Linked DNA regions of Rhinolophus ferrumequinum. The protein of the gene in region 2 interacts with the protein of the main gene of each other region in a biochemical or structural test. Links are inferred from orthologs where the notes say so. Each region holds a gene or a part of one and is shown on either strand. Other genes may lie near its edges.

Region 1 (7,583 bases), on a different chromosome or scaffold from region 2:
ACTGCACTTGCTCTGAATCATATTCAGGAGCCATGACTTGTCATATTTTCTGCCATAAGGAATCTACATGAGAGAAAGGGCCGGGAATAATATGAAACTAAGGCTGAAAAGGAGATACAACCTAGTGCTTCATATAGTCTGCCAAGGTTTAAAAGATTTTCTAAAGAAAACACCAGTTAAAGCTTTACTACTGGAGTCAGACATGGATTCCTTAACCTCCTTTTTGTCTATTTATACTTATTATTCATCAAAAGAATCAAATTGTTTGATTCTAAAAGTCCTAAGATATTATTTCTACCTTGCCTGCCCCTCAGAAGTCAAGGGGCCCCAACCCCCACGACTCAGTCTGAGCCACATGGAGACATCCAAAGGAGTTATGTCACCTCCCAATCAGTCATCACGTTTCCCTTTAGATGGCCTTGCCTTCCTCCCCGTGCTGCCTATTCTTTCTATTCCTTTTCTGCACCTGCCCTTAGGTTCTAAGACATTGATCCTTATGCCAAAGGACGGATACCTGACTGTGGAGTAAACAGCTCAGAAGACTAATTTTGTGGTGTGAAGGGTAAACACCTTCACTCTGAGCCCTGCCTCTCATCTCTCCTACACCATCTATTTCCAAGATACTCACTGTAATCTTAAACCACTTTTTTGAGGTCCCGTCCTGGCTGGTGCCAGCCCCTCCTCTCGGTGGAGGAGCTCTGTCTCTTCGCACAGTAACATGAATGCGGTCTCGATCCTGCCAATTATCGCCCCGACGGTTAGTTCGTGCAGCATAGGGGTTGCTGTGTGGAAATAGAGAATAAAATGTCCATAAACACTAGGAATGGCTTCTCAAAGTCTTTGCTGCACTGTTATGAGAACTACAACTAAGACTGTTCAACCATTAAGCTGGTCCTGGCAGTCCTCACTCTTGTAGGTAGGAAGAGAAACGACACAAACAGTAACAGTATATAAGTAAAAGAGTCGACAAATTCAAACCAGATCCACTGGTTACTCACTATCTTACTCGGGGAACATCCTGGGCATCACTCATCGCCACATCTCTGTCATCTTCTTCAAGGTGGGAAGATCGAATGCTAGCACCTCCTCTTGCAGACCTACGGTTCCCCTCACCACACTTCCACCGGAAAGGACCCCGACCTTTCTTTCTTCTTTGAGGGAAATTAACTCGATCATCATGCTCTGGAGTTGGGAACAGAACACAAACTAGAAAACTGGCCCAGCTGCTGTGCTGTGGCACCAATTACAGTATCGCTGCACTATTGGATGAGATACAAACTAACTGCAGAGGCTACCTCCAAGCAAACTCCCCCGCCTTTCCAGAGAAAGAACCCTCTGTGTGGGATGGCACCAAAAAGGGAAAAACCACTGGGAAACCATGCAGGGCTTTTGAAAAATGAAGCAGAAACTGGAAGTACAGAGAGGAGAAACACAATGTGGAAATGTGAGTGACCCAAAAGTGAAACTGGGCACAACTCAGACCCCTCAAAAGTCACCTGAATGAAATCTGCTTTCACTCGGACTCTCAAACCTACTTAACCCTACTCAGTATTTGAATGGTGACCTCTCCCATCCCCTTAAACCAAGCAACCACAACTATTACATCAGCTTTCAATAAACGATGCTTGTTTTGCCTATACAGTGTATGTTACAAATGTGACCAATTTAAGGACTTCTTTAAAGTCTTGTTCTCAAACTCTGAAGTTTTGGGAGTGAGTTCTTTGTTTCCTTGGCCAGAAATGTCTTTTAACTCAGAAGACAAATTCTAGATGCAGGTTCTAATGGCAGCTAGGGTGCTTAACCAAGAGTTCTCGACTGCTCTCTAGGAATATGACCCTCTGAATCCTGGTGTGTAGGAATGGTTTCTTAAAAAAAGATCGATGACTTCAAACAAGGTCTGCCTAATGCGCAGCACCCTGCAAACAATGAACTTCAAGAAATGACCCTAGAAAAAAAGAAGAAATGAATAGAAAGCACAGCTAACATTCACTGAGAACTTTCTCCAGTGCCAGGCACTACCATACTCCAGGCACTTGATATGAATGATCTCATTTTCTCACACACACACACACACACACACACACTTAGGAGGTAGGTACTGTTTCTACCTGCATTAAGGGAGTAGAAAATGAGGCCTGAGCGTTTAACTCACTCAAGCTTGATGTAGCCAACTCAAGACTGAAATCTCGGCTGTCATGTGCTCCAAACCACTACTCTGGACCCAGTATAGTGTTTGGTCTAGAACATCGAGATGGTGTGTAGATCTAAAATATTAAGCCAAAACCGCAGGGAAGGGGGACAAAACCGACTGGACGCGATAGAAAATAGGGCACAGGTAGCTCAGGAGAAGGGCACTGACTCACATTAAAGAGTCTGGCCGCCAAACTGAAATGACAGGGATCCACCACCCACAAAGTTCAAAGGAATCTCGTCACCCCACCGCCGAACCACCCGCACCGAGCCGCAGCTCCTCGCAACGCCAGGATTCCGGAGTCAACAACTCGGGCTCCCACCTTCGAGTCCGGTGGGACCCCCGGGGCTGCCTCGCCCCAGACCCGCGCCTCCACCGTTCTCCGCGGACGCGGGCCCCTCGCGGCCTCCAGCCCCAGGGCTGCGGCCTAGGCCAGCGCCGCCCACCCGGGGCCCAGATCGCCCCGCTCCCACCCCCGGGGACAACACTGACCGTTGTATGACTTCCCCCCGTCCGCCATGGCACAGCGAAAAGCAGGGCGGGCTCAGGCGCGGGCCACAACGCCACCAATCGTCAGAACGCCCAGGTGATCCAGGTCGAAGCGCCCCTACGGCCGGCAGCGCCGCATTTATCTGGCCCAGAGCGCCGCGCGCCGTCGACGTCCCCAGGTAGTGGGCGGTGCCTCCGGGGAGGAGCGCAGACGGCCGCGCGTGCGCACTGGGCGAACGGCCGCGCCGCGCAGCGGGGCTCCGCCGCTGCCCGACTCGCCCTAGACCTGAGCTCGCCTAGCCAAAGGCTGGGGCTGGTTCGCCCTGCCGCCCGCTTTCTTCCGTCCGCGGCTACGCCAGCACCTCCAGGATTAGCGCTGGAGCAGAGGGCAGGCTCCTGACGCCCAGGACTCCGAGAGGAGCGGGGAAGAGGGGCCACATGAAGGGTTTCCCAGGAATGGGAGACCTGGGCCTCCGAGCGGGAGTGAAGGCTCCCAGACCCCTAGCGGGATATAACCCGTATTTGTCTCAGTTCAGCCCTCTGTGGGCTGCGGGTCAACGCTTCGTTTTCAACGCCTGTAAAATGGATTATCAGGATATAGAAAACTAAACGTAAGCTCCAAGCAGCAGAGACTTTGAATAATTCACGGTTTTTTTCCTTCAGCACCTGACTCAGTACTATGCCTGGCACATAGCAGGAACTCAACAAGTATTTGTGAAATAAATGAATTTCTGATCTATGCATCCCCCGAAGAGTTGCGGAATCAAATGAGAAAGGCTGCCATTTGTCAGGCTTTGACGGAGCAACTGTCTTCACAAACAGCCCCACCCACAACTGATGTGTTGTCCTAGGCCCACATGGTGTGTCTACTGGGTAGTAAAGATTCTAGCAGGGCCACCAGCTGAACAGAGGCTGAGGAGGGGGGAGAAATTTAAAATGCCAGGGCTAGGAAAGACATGGGCTCTCCTAGACCCCCCAAAGTACTAGGGCCAGCAGAGTGTATGGTGATTGTCGTCTATAGTTTGAGCTTCCTCTGGGGTGTGTGAGGTGGGAGGAATCCAGTGATCTCCGAATGACCTCCCTGGAGGGCGGGTATTCCAGGTACGTCTCACCTTCATTCTCCTGTGACTGGCTTGGACTTGGTGAGGGGCTTGGAGGGGATCAAGAACCTCAGCTGGAGCTGAGAACAAATTCTTCACTTTTCATTCCTGGCAGCAGACAGAGCTCCTGCCTCATCCAGCTCAGGGGAAAATTGGGGCCAACTGGTTGGAGGATGCAGGTGAAACAGGTCCAAATACTGCTGGAGATGGTCCTGGAAGTTGCCACCAGTCGGGAACCCACTCTGGGATCCTGCGTCCCCCTTTGAAGGGAAGCTGCCATGCTAATGAAGTGCTGCTGCACTTGGTTCTCCCCTGCCCGGAGGCTGCCGTGTGCAGAGCCCAAAGCCTTGCCTCTCACAGCCATCAGCCCAACCTGAAAAGTTCTGGTACAGGGCAGGGGGCTCACTCCAGTTGCTGCCTGGCCCTTCGACGCTCCCACCCAGAAATGACAACATGGCTAGTGAGGCTGACGGTCTTGCTGTAATTGGGAGAAACTGGCTGCAGCTCATTTGGCAGATTGAGAGTCACCAGCAGCCAAAGTTGGGGTTGTGCAGGCAGCCAAGGGGCTCAGGGCCCCCACCTCACATGGTGAAGAGAGGAAGAAGAAAGAGGTCAAATTCTAACCCAGATGGGAAAGTTGGTCCCTGGGGCAGTTTCACTTCCTCTCCTCACTCTCAGGATGTGGGGAAGGGCATCATCTCCCCTTGCTGCCAAAGTTTCCTCTGCGAGAGGCTGGGGAGGGTTTATAAAAATCTCCTAGTGGAGACAACTTCCCCCACTGGCCGCCCAGTTGGCCTCTGCTCCCTTCCAGCCACTTCACAGCAGAGTCCAAATCCAGAACCATGTGTGTTTCGTGGGCCTGAGGGTGGTGAGGGGAGGACAGGGTAGCCAGAGGCAAGGGGTGGGGAATCAGGGGCAGTGGCCATTCTTAGCAGTTCCAGGAAAACAGGGCCTTTCTTCCAAGCACCTTGCACAGGCTCAGGGGCAGCAGTGGCCACCTGCCCTCCCAGGTGAGCTCCAAACCCCCGCGGAGTGCCTCAGAGCAGAGAGGGTTCAGGCAAGGAAGACCACAAAGATGATGAAAAAGACAATGAGGATGAGGAAGATCTTGATCATGAGCCACCGGTTGGACGTAACCGACTGGAAGTACTTGAGGATCTCCGAATGGGCGGCCTCAACATCCAGCTGGGCTCCCAGCACGTTCTCATCGATCCTGGGGATAGGGCCGGGGAGAGAGGGAACAGAAGGTCACTAGATTAAAAAGAAAGCTATTGAAGCATATTTACTGACAGGAAAAGATGGTCACAATAGGTGGAAGTAGAAAGTGTTTATACACAATATGATTCCATTTTTGTGCATATACAGAGGGTGCCAAAAAAATGTATACACTTTTTAAGAAAGGAAAAAACTGTATTATATTAAAATGGTAATACAACAAATGATGCTAGCATTCATTTGATTAACGCCTTTTTTTTGTTTTTAATTTTTATGTATTTAAGTTTGTTTTTCTAGGACCCATCAGCTCCAAGTCAAGTAGTTGTTTCAATCTGGTTGTGGAGGGTGCAGCTCACAGTGGCCCATGTGGGAATCAAACTGGCAACTTTATTAAAAGCACCATGCTCTAACCAACTGAGCTATCTGGCCTCCCCTAATGCCATCTTTTGAACAAACATCATATTGCACATTGATACCGTAAATCAACTTTCAAAAGTAATACGTAGATAACATCTCTTAAAATGTGTACATTTTTTTGGCACCCCCAGTGTATCTGTGTATACAAAAAGCTCTGGAAGGGTAATACAAACAAGTCTTGGATCTGATTTGAAAATCAGCTCCACAACTTATTAGCTGATGACCCTAAGCCAGTCATTTAACCTCAAATCTCATTTTCCTCAACTGAAAAAGAAGGAAAAGTGAGGATAACACAAACCCTACCTTTCTCGTTGTTGTCAGTCTTACCTAAGTTAACAACTATATAGTGCCCAACCCATACTAAAAGCCCCCAAAATGTTAGCTATTATAATGTTTTGTTCATCAGTATTTATTGACTTTTCTTAAATATGTATTGCATTTGTAACAGGGAGAAAAGTTCACAGGCCATCATAGTCAGGAAATCCTGGTTCAGAGTGAGACAAGAAGGAAAAAAATGACACGAACAGGCAGTCAGGGGATAAGAAAAGCCCTATATTATGAGAAACTGTCTCTCCAGGGTATAGAGAAGTCCTCAGAGAAAGGGTAATCTCTTGAGAGATTGTTGAGGAAAAGGAAACATTTCCCAGCCGACCTGCATATGCAATCCTAAAAACCAAATACAAACCCTGGTCCTTGCAAAGTGAGTCCCTGGGAGTTAGAGACCTTTCCAACCTGTTGAGGATAGAAAAGTTGATGGAGCCTTGCAATCTAGGTGGAATATGAGAGGAAAGGCCCAGGTCCTGGGAAGGTGGTCATGAAAACTGCCAGCTAATCTCTGTCCAAATACGGAAGCCCAGATTATACATGATTCCCTCGTATGTCAGAGAGGCTAACTAAAGTACCAGGTTTCCTAGTTTGGGGCTATAATTACATTTCTCAGTGTGGGTGCATTTGTCATGTCATACTCAATAAAGCTCACATTGGCTCCGCTGAACAAAAATGGAAAAACAATAAATGCAATCTGACACACAAAAGATTTTAAATGGGAGTCCACGAATGAAACTAATAGAAGGGAACACTGGTGGTGAAAAAAAAATTAGTAATCAGTGGGACACTGAGAAGTAGCAGGGAGTTAGAAAATGGAAATGAATAGGGCTGAAAATAATGGCTTGGGAAAGAGAGGGCTGAAGAAAACTTAAAAGGAAAAGTTTACATGGGGAACAGGACAAAAGAATGTCTTATGGAGAGAAAGAAAAACCAGAGGGAAAGAATCAAGCATCAAGAAGCTGGAGTCTTGCTGAACAGAAAGGATAATTGATGACACTGATGTGAGAGGCCTGGAAAACCAGAAGACTAGAAGGTGAGTATAAGTTGGGAACAATAACAACAAAAAAACGGAGTTTGAACCAAAGACAGTGAGCCCAAGAACTGGAAAGATTATGTGACTGTGATTAAGAGATCTGAGATTTTAATTTTTGAGTTTCAGTTTCCCCCAAACTTCAAGATGCTTGGGTTATGTTCAAGAGGATACAGAAAATGCCTTAAAGTAGCTCCAGATGTAGTAATCAAGAATGATGATGGTAATGGATTGTAATACATTGACTTTTACTATCATTCCACAGTAATTTTAAAGGAAGCTCGTTCTTTCCGGAACAATGCCAGCTAATAAATGTAGAAGGACTGGGAGGATCAGAAAATTACCGTTTTACCATCACTCAATCTCACAAATGAGTCAGGCAAGGATCACCGTGGGGCTGAGGCCCTGGACATTCCCACAGGACTCAAAGTATCACTCCACAGATGACAGCCTAATGGTCATCACCTTAAACAAGTGACCAAACTTGTCATAACCAAAAAAGAGATAACCTCATCAAGTGCTAACTGAAACAATCACCTATGTAGCCAGCCAAAAATATTAACCTAAATCGAATCACAACGAAACCCTGGACAAATACAATGCAGGACTTTCTACAAGAGGCACTGGCCTCTTCCAAAAAAAAGGAGCCTGTGTCACGAAAAACAAAACAAAGGCAGATTAAAGAGACATAACAATCAAATGCAATGTGTGAATGTTACCCAGGTCTTCAACTGAAAGAAAAAAGCTAAAAGCATTTTTTAGAACAGCTGGGAGAATTTGAACATGGACAGCGTACTGAATAGTGTTGGACAGT
Region 2 (7,480 bases):
TAAATCACAATATTGCCAACATGCACCCATATTTTGGCAACAATGCTCCCAATAATACACGTTCCTATTTGTTTAGATGGTAGTGTTGAGCCAACGAAAAGGCCGTGCCCCAAAACCCTTCCCTTAGAGAGCCAGGGAACCCAAGTTCAACTGAGCAAAAATAAATACATGGCAGAATGGTCCATTCTCCTTCCCTCTGAGGTCAGAGGAACAACTCATTGAAAGAGAAATACAAAGGACTAAAGAGAACAACCAGACAGGCTTCCAGCCTCCGACCTAGAACTTACTCTTCTTGGGGGTCAACCTCAGGACTGGCAGCAGTTTTAACTTTAATATTAGAATGATTTCTCGGGAAGGAAACTACGTTAGCACTTCATTATACTCCTCTCTCTACTATGCAACATAAAGCAAGTAACTTACCTATCTTATTGGGATCGTCTCCAGGTTTATTTTGAATAAGAAGATTTTTAGTAGTAAAAACTTGCAACCCACTGGCTCCTCCAGCGAAGACCAGGCCATACTTGTTGGACAGGGCAAGCAGACTGCAGCGCTCCTTGGGCAACTCCTCAGGGGAGTCAAAGATTCTCACTTTTTTCAGTGCTCTAAACTGAAAATCCTGTTGTGAGGGATCAAAACAAGATCAGTTCAGGGAAAACAGGAAGTTAAATCATGTCTGTCATCATATTACAGTAGATCCAATTCCAGTACAACCAAAACACCTATTCCCGAGACCAAGGACTGTATGACCAAGCCATTTATAAGCTGCCCATGCGTATTGTGGTACGTGGCATAGCGCTTATTAATATTTATTCAATGGAATAAATTTCTAAAGATTCTATCCTTGACTAATTCAACTCACGGTGACCTTGTCCTTTTCTGAATTCCTAGTTTATTGTCTTAACCACCATCCAAGCTGCACTTTGTTATTTACTACCTTGTCTTAGTTCATGGTATGTATTGTCTCATGACCGAGTAGTGCTTTAAAAGCTGTTAAATATTCAAAGCATCATCCAACTACACTGTAGGCTCAAACTTCTACTGCAGTACTCAACAAATGTGTGTGTGTGTGTGTGTAAACAATGACCACAGAAAGATAACCGAATCCCAAGAAATGACCTACCTGCATCAAATGTTAAACACAAAAAGGATATGCATGGTCAATCTCTTGGTGTTCAAGACCTGAAAACACACCTGGATGCCATGAGGACATTTACACACAGGTGCAAAATCCTTAACACAGGCTGTAAGGCCGACTTGACCCATCCGCCTCTGGAGCCTCACCTTACAACACTGCTTCCCTTCTGCAAGTGCGTGCGACATCACCTCTGCCACATCCACTGCCACCTCCCGGCCCCATGTCTATCCAGTTTTCATTTCCTTCCATTTTCAGGCTCCTTAGTAACTCAGGGCCTGGGAACATTCCCCAACCTCCTGTCAATGCCCGACTCGCGTAGTCTTCCATGAATTTATCTACATGCTTCCAAAGACAATTTTCAGCGCGCAGAACCTCTTGGTAAAAAAAGAGTTCCGTAAGTTTACCAAATCACTATGTTAAGGTGTGCTATATGTGGTTGAATTTTTTTTCTTCAATTATATACCTATCCTTAAGTTGAGGTTTGGGTGAAAAGACTGCAAATCCCCTTTTGCTTACATTCCAAAACTGTAAAAGCGAAAGAGAGCCATTATCAGCTTTCACTTTTGTACACTTACGGTGTTTCATACAGGATCCCTAACACACCCCATACAAATTTCCAATGGATTCGATGTTTAATGCACATTTGCTAAAAGATTAACTGAAATACTCTTAATTCCAACTGAGCACGATGATCAAAAACACACACATAGTTTTCCAGGTGAAACCATACTATCTATGGTTTCAAACAGAAGTAAAATAAAATTTTTCGGTCTGTTTTTGTGACTCTCATCCTGATAATCCCAAATATCCTATTTGGGTCTTGGTCACATGGGGTGGAGGGCCAGTGAGATGAAAAGGCACCAGAGTGCTCTCCTTTCTGTTGTAATCAGCAACTTAAAGGGACACTACCATCTTCTAAGTCTGTGGTTCTAAAACCTTTTTTCCTTCAGCCCCAGCGTGTCTGAGGAATACGGCACCTTCTCATTGGGTGGTTCACTCAGGCAGTGATTCTCAAGAAGGAAGAGAGAGTCACTACTCTCTAAACGTATTTCAGTGATTTGCTGTTCGAATGCCTAACATCTTCCGCAACTTACTCCCTTTCAGGTGCTTGTAACCATCACATCATTGGGATCACGTGCCCCTCTCCTTAGTTTCCCGACTTCAAGCAGACTTCCAGTACCAGAACAGTCCTCCTATTCTAACGAACTAGATTTTGTAGGATAGGTGATGAACCCCGGCTCTGCATCAGACAAGCCCGGAGAACCTTACAGAAGTAAGACAATGAGAGTGAAGAGAGGGTCTTACAAAACACACCTGCATTACAGCCTCCTCGTCAAATGCGATTTTGGGTAAGTTACCTTCCGAACCTTGACTTGCATCTTTATATTAACTATTTCGTAGGGTTGCTGTGTGATTACCCCAGTGCCTGGCTCACAGTAAACGCTCAATAAACAGCAATTATTACCGCTACTCCGACCACCATATTAAAGTAGCTAGAGAAACTGAGGTGGAGCGCACAAGACCACCCAGGGAAGGGGACACTGCACTCGGCGGGGCGAACACGCCGGCGGCACCGCAGAGTGCTCCAGGACGCGTAGGTGAGAACTCTGAACGCCGGGAAAGTTCAAGCGGGAGGCGGGGCAGCCGGCACCCGCGCTTCGCCGTTCAGCGGGGCTCCAAGGCAACGCGAAGGCCCCGGCCAGTATCTGACCTTCATCTCCCGCTCGGGGATCATGGCATCCATCTCGTCTCCCATCGCGCCGGACTCAGCTGGTCGTAGCAGCAGCCGCAGCTGCCCGCGGCCTTGCCCACACAGCCCAGGCCGCTCCAACGCCAACTTCCTTCCTTCAGCGCTAGCGGCGCGCAGCGAGGCCCGAACTTCCGGCGCGCGTAAATGGCGTCACGCATTTCGGTGGGCGTTGCGGGTCGAGGAGGCTGAGGGAGTATATGAAGTCGCGCGCTCCCGAGGCCGCCGCCTCCCATTGGCCGGCTCGGCCCGCGCGCCTGCGCCCTGGAGCGTCCAGGCCCCGCCCCCCGCGTCCGCAACCAGAACGAGTTTGCTTGGTGTTGGGTTTTTTTCCATCGGACTGCGCATGCTTGAGCGCTCCACGCTCAGTGTTCCGTGGAGACCCCACAGTAACCTTGGGATGGAGGTGGCGATTAATAGTTCTTGATTCAGAGAAGTTGGGACTTGATAAATATTTCCAGGGGAAGCTCTTGAGAGAGGCTTTGGAGGGGGTTGTGGAGGAAAAGGGGTTCAGAAAGTGCGTGGGTTGGGGCCTCGCCACGGGAGACTTCTGCGTCTAAGCACGAACGCTGAAAAAGGGGAGGTTAAAAGGCACCAGAGGTCGTCTTTGTTTATTCCTGTCAAGGTAATCATTTCCGAAGCAAGAGCCTGGAAAGCGCAACACACTTTGGATGTGTTCTTTACTCTTGAAGACGTCCTGGTCCCCCAGGAGTTATTACTGCCGTTTAACTGACGAGGGGACGAAGCAGCAGGGAACGTAAGAAAACCACCCCGCGCCCCGTGGTCGCAAAGCGGTGGAGGCTGGATTAGAATTCAGCTTGTCTGGGTGCTCACTGATGACTGTTATGTACGCATTGCTGCAGTGGATTTATATCTTAAATGCTCTAGGACAGAGGTGCTTAACTTGAAGTAGGGGCCATAGTCTGCCACGGACTGTTTGGTTTTCAGCAAATTGCGCATCTGCTTCAAGGCTGCTTCTCATTTGTAAAACGAGGATGACAAACAACCTGTCTCGTGGGGTGGTCGTGAGAAGTAAATGAAGTTAGAGCTTAACAGAGCCTGCTACACAGGACGCATTCGTTCAATGGTACTTTATCAGGTAGCTTTCCTGAATTTGCTGAGTCCCAGAACCCCTCCCCCAAATACACCAATCAAGACATTGACAGTTTGTCTGTTTTATTCCCAGTGTGCAGAGATGGTATCTGGCACCACACACTCTCATACGCACGCGCACACATACTGCATCCACTTGAACTTGCCCCACACACTCCTTCCTTTTGAGTTGCAGGGACAAAGCCACACTTGGCAATCCCCAAGTTTCTGGTTACATTAGTTAGATTTGGTCTTTCAGAGAGATAGCTGAAATTCTAAGAAAATGAGCCCTTAGCCAGAGAAGTAAGAGTCCCAGGGCCAACAGCCACAACCTGAAATATATGCAGCGCCCCCCCCTTTCCAGAAACCACTCAAGCCCCTCTCCCTCCACCAGCTGAGTTCCAAGAAATGGCAAAGGAACTTGTGTGGTGTCCCAGGATACTCCTATCCAATGAACGCTCTGTCCTGCTCTTTCCAGAAGCTGGGGACACACCCACTCGCTCCCCCTTAAGGCTTCCCATGGCCTTGTAAACTGGGGAACCTGTGGAAAATAAGCCTGGTTGGTTGTGCCCTCCTCTCTGAGTGAGGACCAAGTACACTGACGATGTGACGGGGAGTCAAGACTTGACCTTGCTCAAAGGTCTCGTCGTGTCCTAGAGAGGAGACGTAGTGGGAAGGGGTGGGGACAGGCAGTTGCTCAAATAATGATCTCGGGTGGAAAAAAACCAAGGCAGGGAAGGGGGTGGGGTGAGATTTTACATTTACAGGGAAAACTGTTTTGCTGGGGTTTAAACTTCAACTAGGCCTGTGCATTTGAGCAGCTCCTTAGCCTAAGGACCAACCAGCCACGGCCAGGTAGTCTTGCTCCTGAACTGGTTGAGACCAGCAAATTATCCCAGCCTGGCCCTTACCCCATCCCCGACCTGCTCCACTCCCTTAAGCTGCTGTAAGGCAGCTCCTTGGGTCTTTGATTGTGGGTCACTGAGGAGCCACAGAGAGCCCACCGTGGCTCTAACAGTACCCAGACATTTCCACTTAAGGTTTGGCAAATGCTTTTGCAAGGCTCTTGCTCAGTCTTGAGCCCATCTTGGTCTCCCCAGGATTGCAGTGCAGTCACCCCATGGCCCCCCTTTCCTTTCATCTAACTCGTCCTTGTCCGAGTCTGACTTCCTCACTAGGCTCTTAAATTTCACGTAACTGTCTATTTCATGACTGGGTTCTTAGCTCTCGGCCCATAGCAGGTGCTTAACAAATATGTCCAACTGATGATTGCTTCTAAGTCCTGAGCAGGCAGGGTAAGGGGCTCCAGAACACAGGTGCGGTCAAGGCTGGGGTCCCTGCTCAGCCAAGATGGGGCCGAGTGTGACAGCTTCCTGCGTGAGTTCTGAGAAGTGGCTTAGCTCAGAAGCCCTGGGGAAGGCGGAACCGCAGAGGCAGGCCTGGCCTGTCCCCTGATCCTGCTGCTAACTCAGAGGCACTGGAAAAGGTGAGTCCTGGCCCAGGCCCCGCCCCAAGTGCTGTCCTAGGAAATAGCCTCGCCCTGCCCCTTCCCTTGTTTTCCTCACTGACGGAAGCAGCCCCGAGCAGAGGTGATGCACGGGCAGGCCATCTGAACACCTGGGCTTCAGTCCAGACTCTTCCATCTCGATTAACTCCTAACCTTGGGCCAGGCACTTAATCCCTGGGGGCCACCACAGTTTCCTTACCTGTGAAATGTGAGGACTGGCCCAGCTAACCTACAGGGGGATCAGACCTCTAAGACCCTGTGAGTCCATAATAAGGGACACAGGTGACCCCAATGGAATCCCCATGCTCAAGGGTTTTGGGCGATTTGGAAATGGGGAAATGAGTTAGAGACAGTGGACACAGCACATGTCAGGACAAAGTGGAGGGGGCCGGCCTTAAAGCTTATAATAGATGGTCAATAAATATCTGTTGAATGACTGAGTAAATGAATGGTCTGAGTAAGTTGGGCAGGTCGTGGGGGAAGCAGTCGGTTTTCAAGCAGACTGGGATCAGAAAGGCAACCTCCTGTGTCTCAGTTCTTGGCTTAACAGTGGTGCTGACTTTTTGCCGTGAACATTTTATTCCTCATTCCCCTAGCCTGTTGCCCTCAGCATCCTCCTAAAAGGTGGGACTAGACTGAGCTGAACCCCGCTCCCCAAGGCCCCTGGCCTCCCCTCTACCTCTGAAGCCCTCTGCTGCCCCAGCAAGGGACAGGGCTCCCTCTGAGCTGTCTATGAAGGTGTGGACAAGGGGTAAGGCCAGAAGATTCCTTCCAGAACCTTCTTGAGGGTCTCCAATTACCAAGCCCCTCTCCTTGTCTCCTTCTGCACCTCATTAAGGGCGAGAAGAAGTGTGGCCCGAGCGGGGATCAGCTGGGGCAGTGAGTGGCCACGTCCTGGACAACCTGAGAGCACCGGAACTTCAGAGCATCTGAGGAAACCCTAGTGAGGCCCTGCAGCCTCGTCCCTACTCCAGGGTCTTCTGAAAGTGGGCTGAGGTCCTCACCAGAGCCAGGCCAGCGAGCCTGGACTTAGCTCAGTGACCTCCAGCAAGGATGGACAATGCCGGCTCCAAGTGTGGGGATCACAGGCTTCCAGCTTCCCTGCCCTGGCCCCGCCACTTCCGGTTTTTGGTTTGATGTCAGCCCTTCTGCACAGGGAGTGGGGAAGGAGGGAAGAAGAGAGGGAGGGGCCCCAGAGCCCCTTTAAGGCAGATCATTTGTGCTTTACAAAGAGATCAGATTCTGCAGATGAAAAAACAATCATGCCCAACAACCAGGAAAAAAAAAAAGACATTGCAATGAGTCCAGAAGTGCAGCAAGATCAGGAGGGAGGGGTGGGGCAGGGAGGGCAGGGACAGGTCCCCGCGGGGTCCTCAGGGCAGGCTGGCAATGTCTCTCTCTGGAGGGGGACCGACTGGCTTGGGACTGCTCTCGGTGGCCTTTCCTTCAAACATCATGACTCTGGTTTAGAGATGGAAAAAAAAACACAAAACGAAACAAGATTAGGATTCCTCCCCTCACCCAGGGAAAGCTCACCCAGCCCTCACGTCCGCAAAGTCCTCAGCAGAATGCCCTTCATCCATTCTCCAGCAGGATCTTCTCGGAAGCCTAGGATGGCAGCTGCATGGAAGGGACTCCTAGTCCCATTTGACAGAGGAGAAAATGGCGCAAAGTGGCGACATGACTCCTCAGAGCCACAAGCAGTCCAAGCAGGATGAGAGCCTAGATCTCTGACTTCCAGGCCATGCACCTTCCCCTAACCACGCTGCCTGGAGGAGGCAGAGCTAGGCTGGGCCACGGCTCTGCTCACAACCCCTTTGGAGCTTCAAAACCTCCCACTGCTCCGAGGGTCAAGTCGGGGGGTGTAGGGCACAGGGGTTTATGGTGCAGCCTCTGGAGGGAAACAGCCTGGATTGGAGTCCCAGCCCAGCTACCGTCCCAGCTCGTGACTCCAGGAAGACACTTAACCCCACGGATGCTGTGTTTCCATCCGGAAGTG
Region 3 (7,878 bases), on a different chromosome or scaffold from region 2:
ACCGTTAGCTCTTGAAATTAAAGACATGATAGAAATGAAACATGAAATAGGTTATAAAGCAGTTGAGAAAATCTCATTGTGGTGGTGGTTACACCACTGGATACCTTTGTCAAAATTCACAGAACAGGGGTAAATTTTGCTATATATTATACCTCAATAAGTTTGACTTAAAAAAATTAGAGAGCCAGCCCATGAGATCCAACATTCAACTAATAAGAATTCTTGAAACAGGGAATGTAGAAAAAACAATGGGGGAAAAAATCAACAATGAAATTTTCAAGACTATTTCCCATAACAGAGGCCAAGAATTTGCCTGATTGAAACGGACCCACTCAGTGCCCATTAAAATGGATAAAAATAGACCCTTACCAAGACACATCATCATGAATTTTCTGAATACTGGAAATAAACAGAAAATTCTCCAAGCTTAGAAAGGGAAAAACAGGTCACAACAGGAATCAGAATGGTCTCAGACATCTCAACATCAAATACAGAAATCTAAAAGGCAATGGAAAAATGCCTTTAAAATTTGGCAGGAAAATAGCTTCCAACCTACAATTCTACACCCAGCCATACTATTAACCAAATGATAGGGCAAAATAAGATGTTTTAGGAAATGCAACAAAAAAGTTTACTTCCAACACACCTCCAGAAAGCTGATGAATGGCTCCACCAAATCAAGAAAGATGAAGAGAGGGGATAGAGAAAGGAGGGAATACAATACAACAGAAGAGGAGAGAATCCCCAGAATGAAGGCAAAGGGAAATCTGCCCTGTTCCCCTCCATCCCCCAAAATCATTGTGCTTTGAACATAGGGGGAACTAGTTCAATGTGAAGCAGGCTAAAAGACCTGGGAAAAGTGAAATTGATAAAATACTTGCTGTGTCTGCACATCCTGAGATAGACAACTACCGTGTTTCCCCGATAATAAGACCAGGTCTTATACTAATTTTTGCTCCAACAGACGCATTAGGGCTTATGTTCAGGGGATGTCATCCTGAAAAATAATGCTAGGGCTTATTTTCTAGGAAACACAGTAGTAAAACTGGAAGCCAAACAAGTCCGGGGCTCGTGCTGCCTGCGCTGCTCAGCCAACTGACCGACAGAGGAATTGGGTCATAGAATAAGCGTTTATTATCAGAGCACCTGTGGTCTGAGAAGGAAGCGGGTTAACACCTCCAAAAACTACCTTAACATTCTCAGTCCAGTGTGGGTATTTAAAGGAAAATCTGGGTGTTCTTCCAGAGGCTACAGTGATATTCTCTGGTAGAGTCAGGAACCCAAGAACAATGATGGGACTAGACTGGAAAGAATGCTGGACAATTGAGATTGTGATCAATAAGCCTAAGGGTCAGGGTAATTTAAAACAGGGAACTGGGTGGGACAGGGGACATTCTGAGCTCCAGCCACAGGGGGTTGATCTATTATTGTTAGTAAGCTTTAGGTCGGACAAGGAAAGGTGAGGCCAAGGACGGGAGAGGCCCTTACTATGGCGGTGCCAATCGGGCCCTGTTTCATTAGCAAAGAGCTTGGGGTTGAATTTGGTGATAAGTACAGAGAACACAAAGCAAACACACATGACAATTACAAATTCCAAGGAAAAACAAAGTTTTACAGGAAAGTGAAAATATTCATAAATTACTAATATAAACCTGAAATACTGATGTAACTAAAATATAATGAAAAGATAAGGAATGGGAAGGTGTGCTTGTGTGGTGGGATGGAGGAAGGAGTCAAAAATCAAAAAATACCTAGAGCTGCAAATTCAAGAAGTAGCAAAACAAGCATGTTATTTAGGGAACAAGGAGGTCAATATTGTAAATCAGTTTCAAGAGAAACAGCAGTTGTCTCTGGGAAGGAAAAAATTGGTGGTGTTGGTGGGAACCAGTTTTTAAAAGTTTTGACTCTCTGAACTATGTGCATATTACTTATTGTTAGGCCATGTTTAGGCCAAGAGCAGAAACCTGCTTATCCTAAAAGCCATTTCTGTCTTGCTTTGTCTTTTGTACCTGCTGGCTTGTGTTTGTCTCCTAGGGGCTTAGGATCAGCAGGCTTGGGGGCTAGAATGTGGAACCTGAGGGCTTGGTCGTACCCTGAAACCCCCCTGAAGCATTGAAGGGGGAATAGCCTCGTTTACCCCCTCCTATAAAACTCCATACCCCTTTTCACTCAGGGAGTTTATGGTCTTTTCTAGCCTGACCTCCCGCAGCTCAAACATGCCAAATAAATTCTGATAGACCAATTTTGGTCTCCAGAAACTCATTCCTCCAGCCGTGCCTAACACTTATTTTTTATCAGTTATAGAAAATAAGACAAAGTCCTTGTTCTCCAGGAATTCACAGAAATAAGTACTAACAGAAGTTCAAAGCACTATCAGAACTGAGAATGCCTACGTGGGAGAAATTAACTCTAGATAGTAACGTTTAACTCCTTATCTTGCTTACTGGATGTCAGGCCCAGAACAAAGTTAAGCAGATCAAGAGAGGATTTACTGCCTGCCAGACCTACTGAGTGGTTCATTCATCATCACTTAGTAAGCTGAGGAAGCACACAGATCTGTATAACCCATGGTCCCTAAACCCAAGAAGCTCAGAATCGGGAGGTGGAAACTGACACCTACAAAATGGATTACAATCCAGGTTGTTGAGTGCAATCAACCTACGACCAATCGGGATTACAGGAAGACAGGCAGGCTGGGCTCTTTATCCGTGGGAGCACTTAACCGCGCTTACGTAATTTGGGAAGCGGATGGGTAAACAAAGCCAGCTCAGGGTCCAGGCTCCATCCCCTCCCGCACCCCATCCCGGCCCTGACCAGCCCAGGCAGCGTCCTTTCCCAGAGATCTGATCCCCAGCCAAAACTGGCGCTCTGACCCTTTTACAGCTGAAGCCAACTCACCGACTCGGCCGCCGCTTCCTGCTCGTCCACCGCCAGGGCCCACGAGTCGGTGGCCATGGTCCCAGGCGCAGGTGGGACGCTGGTGCTGGCCGACTCGCTGGCTGGCACGGCGCGATCGTGGGCTCCCGGGGGTCGCAGCAAGCCCGGCTTCGGCGCCACCGAGGGGGAAGTCCTACGCTTCGGCGCTGGGGACCGGAAACGGCGCGCCGCAGTGACGTCGGAGGCCGCGCGGGCCCTGACCCTTTTGGGGCTGTCGCTTCTGTCGCCTTCTGACCCCCACCCTCACCCCTGCCTAACTCACGCTTTTTTATCCAACATCCAGAACCGCAGGCTGAGGTAGTTATCTTAAAGGGCCTAAGCTCTAGTGAACGGGCTGTACAGCCCCATTCCCGGAGCCCAGCACAGTGGCACAGAAGCAGCTCACATAGATTGCATACACAGAAACACAAAACCATTACGGGTGTCACCACAACGCACACTGAAACGAGATCTTTTTTTCTCACTTTTCAGGTTGGTGATTTCAAATGTCCTGGTGTGGGCCAGGGTGTTGGAAGTCAGCCCTCTCAGACACTGGTTAAAAATTTGTCCCACAGAGTACGTGGCCACACGACTTAAAGGAATTTCACCTTGAGAAATACTCCAGGAAGGTACTAGGGAAATGTGTTCCAGGTAGAGGATCAGAGACAAGAAAGAGCAGGGATGTTTGTGGAGCTGAACAGACAACTGAATTTCTATAGGGAAATGACAAGAGCCAGGGATGAAGAAGTTGGTAGGTGAATGAGGCTTAATGAGCGGAAGAGTTCACTCCAGGGAACGCCTCCCAATCGGCATGACTTTTGAAGTTAACTGTGCCTAGATCAGAATCCCAGCTCTCCCGTGTAAGGGTTGTGTGACTGGGAAGGTTTTTAAAAAGGCAAAAATACCTTATGCTTTTTAGAAGAGGTGAAAATGGGATTAAGTATGACAGATGCTTTTCTCTAACATTAATCATACAAGCTTCTCTCCTTTTGTTATTTCACTAGAAAGAAGCTGTGCATTTTCATGCAACTTGAAAAATTAATCCCCACATATCTCACTTTGCCAATATTCCACTGTGATAAATTCATTTCAAGCAGTAGTGAGCTCTATGTGGAATTTTACCTGGAGATTATTAGTCAAAATGTTTGGGAAAGGATAAAGCAGCTCCCCTCAATCCTTTACTTGCCATGATTCTTATTCTCCTGCACCCTCTAGGGGTTAATTTAGGGAAGATTTATTTGGAACCTATATAGGTAAGGATTTTGCAAAAAGAAAAAGGAAAATGCCAGCTGGGGAAGCCGTGACCTACATCTCATCATGTCAGAAGCAACCCTGGGAATATTTTTCCAGAGAAATTATACTGATCACAGGGCTAAAGGAAATTAATGGATGTTTTTCAAGTTTAATGAGGTTAAAAAATAAATAAGCCAAGGTGCTAGAATGTATATAATAGAATCCACTTGTGCAAAAACAAAACAAAACAAAGTCACGTATATGTACCTACTATACAAAATGTTTAAGATACACACAAAACTGATAACAGTGGCTGCTGCTTCTAGTGAGGGGCTTCAGAAAATCTGGGGTGGGAGAGACTTCCTTTTTGTTGTGTACACTTTATACTCTGAAATTTATTTTCCATGTGCATGTGAGTATTTCAGACAAATAAGAAAGGTGATAATATAACAAACATCTAGGTTCTCCCCTCAGGGTTTAAGAAATAAAATAAGACTCAAATGAAGTTGCCTGCATAGCTATCCCAAGAGACAGCAGCTCTCCTTTCCATAAATGCCTTTAGCATGTGTTGCTTTTTCTATTTAAAAAAAAAGCTTAAAAATAAGCATCAGGATTCTAGACCCTCCTATGCCACCCCACACCTGCACAATGTGAAACTCCTGTTAAGGAGGAATCTGGTCTCCAAAGTGGAGTGCGGAAAGAGGACTCAGGAATAAGAGCATCTTGGATATCAAGTAGGCCTCCAGCATGTATTCCCACATGACTTTAGGCCACCTCCACCTCCTCTGAAATCACGCTAAGTACCTGTCTCACAGTTCGAGGATTCAATGAGATCACAAGGTTAAGGCCGTTGGTACAGTGCGCAGTCTATAGAGAAGACTCAATACATATTAGCTGTTATTATTAACAGTTAATGGGGTGGGGGCAAGGACGATAACTAAATGTAGAAAAAAAGGTCTCATGTCTACCCTCTAAGAATACTCACGTCTCCCACCGGTAGGGCAAACGGAAAGCGCTCCGGGGCACGATCGCGGACGTGGCCAGCAACCCCAGCCATCGCCCTACTGCATGGCAGTTACCTCCACTAACAGCCGCCCGAGCCTCATTGGCTGAAGCCTGGAAGCCAGTCCCGCCAGCCAATCAACGCACCCAGGTACCTTGGGGCAAATGGACAATTCTAGGCTCCAGCAGGGGGGTGCCTTTGGGTGAGTTCTGTCATTTTTCACTAAATGTAGCTCTCACTGGTTAGGCTGGGAACTCCATGAGGGCAGGGTAGTGTCTGCTTTCTTTAATGCTTATCTTCAGGGACTAACGCATAACAGACACTCATTTGATGAATAAATAGATGGGGAACGAACCCCTCCGCACCCCCTCCCCCATCAAACCTTTTAATCTTTGTCTTTGAACAAACAGATGAAAAACTTCATGCTCCAGTTTCGGCCCTTGCTACTCCAAGTGTGATCCCCCAGCAGCATAGATAACATATCTTGGGAGCCTATTACAAATGTAGAATCTCAGGCCCCACTTCAGACCTACTAAATCAGGATCTCTATTTTAAGATCCCAGCTAATTCCTATAGCACCTTATGATCTGAAAACAATTATTCGGCCAACCCCACTTGATCTGATAGCAAATAAATGAACATTCTAAGTCCATTTTATAGATGCTAAAAGTAGCTTAGGTGCCACGGGAGAGTTAGAACTAGGACTACATCTTTCCAAAACTAAGTATTTTAATTGTACCATCTTGAACCCCTGTTATCTTGCTCATGCCCCAAGGTGAGGTTCTACCAATGTTCTATTGCCAAGCAAGCCATATGTATAGCAATCACTCTTACCAACAGGCCTATTGCTTAGTCCAGAATAATAAGTTTCCTAAAGTATGCAATTTGCATGATGCGTTAAGATAGCTTTCGATTATCAAATATATGGTGATACAAGGAGAACTGACTCTAGGTGGTGCACACAAAATGTGATTTATAGATGATGTAATACAGAATTGTACACCTGAAATCTATGTAACTTTACTAACAATTGTCACCCCAATAAACTTTAATTTAAAAAAATTAAGTATAAACCAGAAAAAAAAAGATAGCTTTCTATTACATAGTTGACATTATCTATGAGAGAAAAATATCATGGAGAACTGGATAATTATCTGAAAAATTCCTGTAGAAAATTCATGTTTGGAAGAATGTGACTTTGGGGCCTCAATTACAGTTTTTCCTCGTATGCCACTGGGTGAATGAAAAAAACAGTTATTTTTAATTTGTCTCAAATTCTTTCATTAGTGAAGGTGCTATCCTAACAGCAACAACTCTGGCAACACAGCAAAATTATTGAGACTACAATCTATATTCTTTTCTTTTACTTTGAAATCACAATTTGTACAATTTTGGCTTTCCATTTTAATTGTGGTGGCACATAAATCTGACCCATTTCTCAGATTGTTTAGGCTAAATATGCCTAACATTTTTGGGCCCATTTGGATCAGAACAAACACTTGTCTCTCTTGGTTTTTGCCTTTAGCTGTCTTAACCTTACTGCCTCAGTTTCCTCAGTGTTAAAAACAATAATAACAGTAACTCATTATAAGGTTGTTATGAGGATCAAAAGCTAAGATCAGTGCCTGCTGCATATGAAGTGCTCAACAAATGTTAGGTGTAATGATAATTATTAATGCGTTGCTGTGAATTGGGAAGTTAATTCAGGTGATTTATTTCTCATTGGCTTTTAAGCTTGATTTTCTATTTAAGTAGGATGCTATTATATTTTACATAAGGAAAGTCAATATTTTTCTGCAATATTTTTAACCCTGTTATGACCAGTAGCTCAATTTTATACCCATGTGTTTTGGACATGTAAGATGATGTAGGTAATAGTGGAATGGGTAAGAGTATGAGGTTTGGAGTTGTTACCGGAGAGGGGGCCCTTCTCGGTGAGATGCTTGGGCTTGGTTTCCACACTGGGGGTCGAACCTGGCAGTGTCCGGGCTTGTCTCTCACACCGAGGGTCAAACCCGGGCCTCGGGGAGGAAAACTGGGAATCCTAGCTGCTACGTTACCAGAGGATGGGTCCTCCTCGGCATGGTGTCCAGGTTCTTGGCATCTGAAGCAAAGAATTGAACGAGACACAGACGTAAAGTGGTGAAATAAGTTTATTAGAAGAGATAGTACACTCCAAAGAATTAGGAGTGGGCTGAGCACAAAGAAAAGCGGCTCAAAGCCCATTGTTAGAAGCAAAAGTACACTCCAAAGGGTTTGGAGCAGGTCCCGAGCAAAAGAAGCTGCTCAAAAGGCTCAAAGGGCTCAAGGGTGGTGGCTCACAGGAGACTAGAGGTTTTGTCTTTTTTTCCTCCAGGATGGGTTGTTCCTCTCCAGGTGTGGGGCCACTTGATTGACACCTGTGATTGATAAGGAGCCATTACCTCATCTTCTTAGACTGTGCATGTCCCTTCCTAGAGTTCAGTCTGTTATAATGATATTAATGAACTACTGGGCATATGTGTGGTATTACAATGATGGTATAATGAGGGTAGGGTGAGATGGAGGTGGTGGCCTTCTACCATGCAGGTGTGAGCGACTGGTCCAATTTAGTTATGTCCTCACAGTGGCTAATGGCTAGAGCAGATAAGAAAAAAATTCAGGAGGTCTCCAGCCTGTCCTCCCCATAGATTATGTTTGATGTGCAGGAATGCAGAGACCCAATTACCCGTCTCTAACTGCCTGCC

The links.
Region 1: the proteins of NUP214 (region 2) and NXF1 form a complex in vitro, tested with the Homo sapiens proteins (4 studies listed by BioGRID and IntAct). The link is inferred for Rhinolophus ferrumequinum from reciprocal best matches to the Homo sapiens genes NUP214 and NXF1.
Region 3: the proteins of NUP214 (region 2) and ATP-dependent RNA helicase DDX19B are reported together in a solved structure, tested with the Homo sapiens proteins (2 studies listed by IntAct, with this or other methods). The link is inferred for Rhinolophus ferrumequinum from reciprocal best matches to the Homo sapiens genes NUP214 and DDX19B.

Annotation. Positions count from the first base shown.
Region 1 is NC_046294.1:8,033,961-8,041,543, reverse strand, and holds the start of NXF1 (nuclear RNA export factor 1), read right to left. Parts: upstream 3,079-7,583; 5' UTR 2,712-3,078; coding exon 2,684-2,711; intron 1,183-2,683; coding exon 999-1,182; intron 783-998; coding exon 629-782; intron 64-628; coding exon 1-63. Other genes in the region: STX5 (syntaxin-5), read right to left, coding at 4,834-4,993.
Region 2 is NC_046295.1:79,177,586-79,185,065, reverse strand, and holds the start of NUP214 (nuclear pore complex protein Nup214), read right to left. Parts: upstream 3,006-7,480; 5' UTR 2,892-3,005; coding exon 2,847-2,891; intron 617-2,846; coding exon 421-616; intron 1-420. Other genes in the region: AIF1L (allograft inflammatory factor 1-like), read right to left, coding at 6,855-6,942. UniProt on the Homo sapiens protein: Part of the nuclear pore complex. Has a critical role in nucleocytoplasmic transport.
Region 3 is NC_046298.1:22,020,794-22,028,671, forward strand, and holds the start of ATP-dependent RNA helicase DDX19B, read right to left. Parts: upstream 3,101-7,878; 5' UTR 2,956-3,100; coding exon 2,899-2,955; intron 1-2,898. UniProt on the Homo sapiens protein: ATP-dependent RNA helicase involved in mRNA export from the nucleus.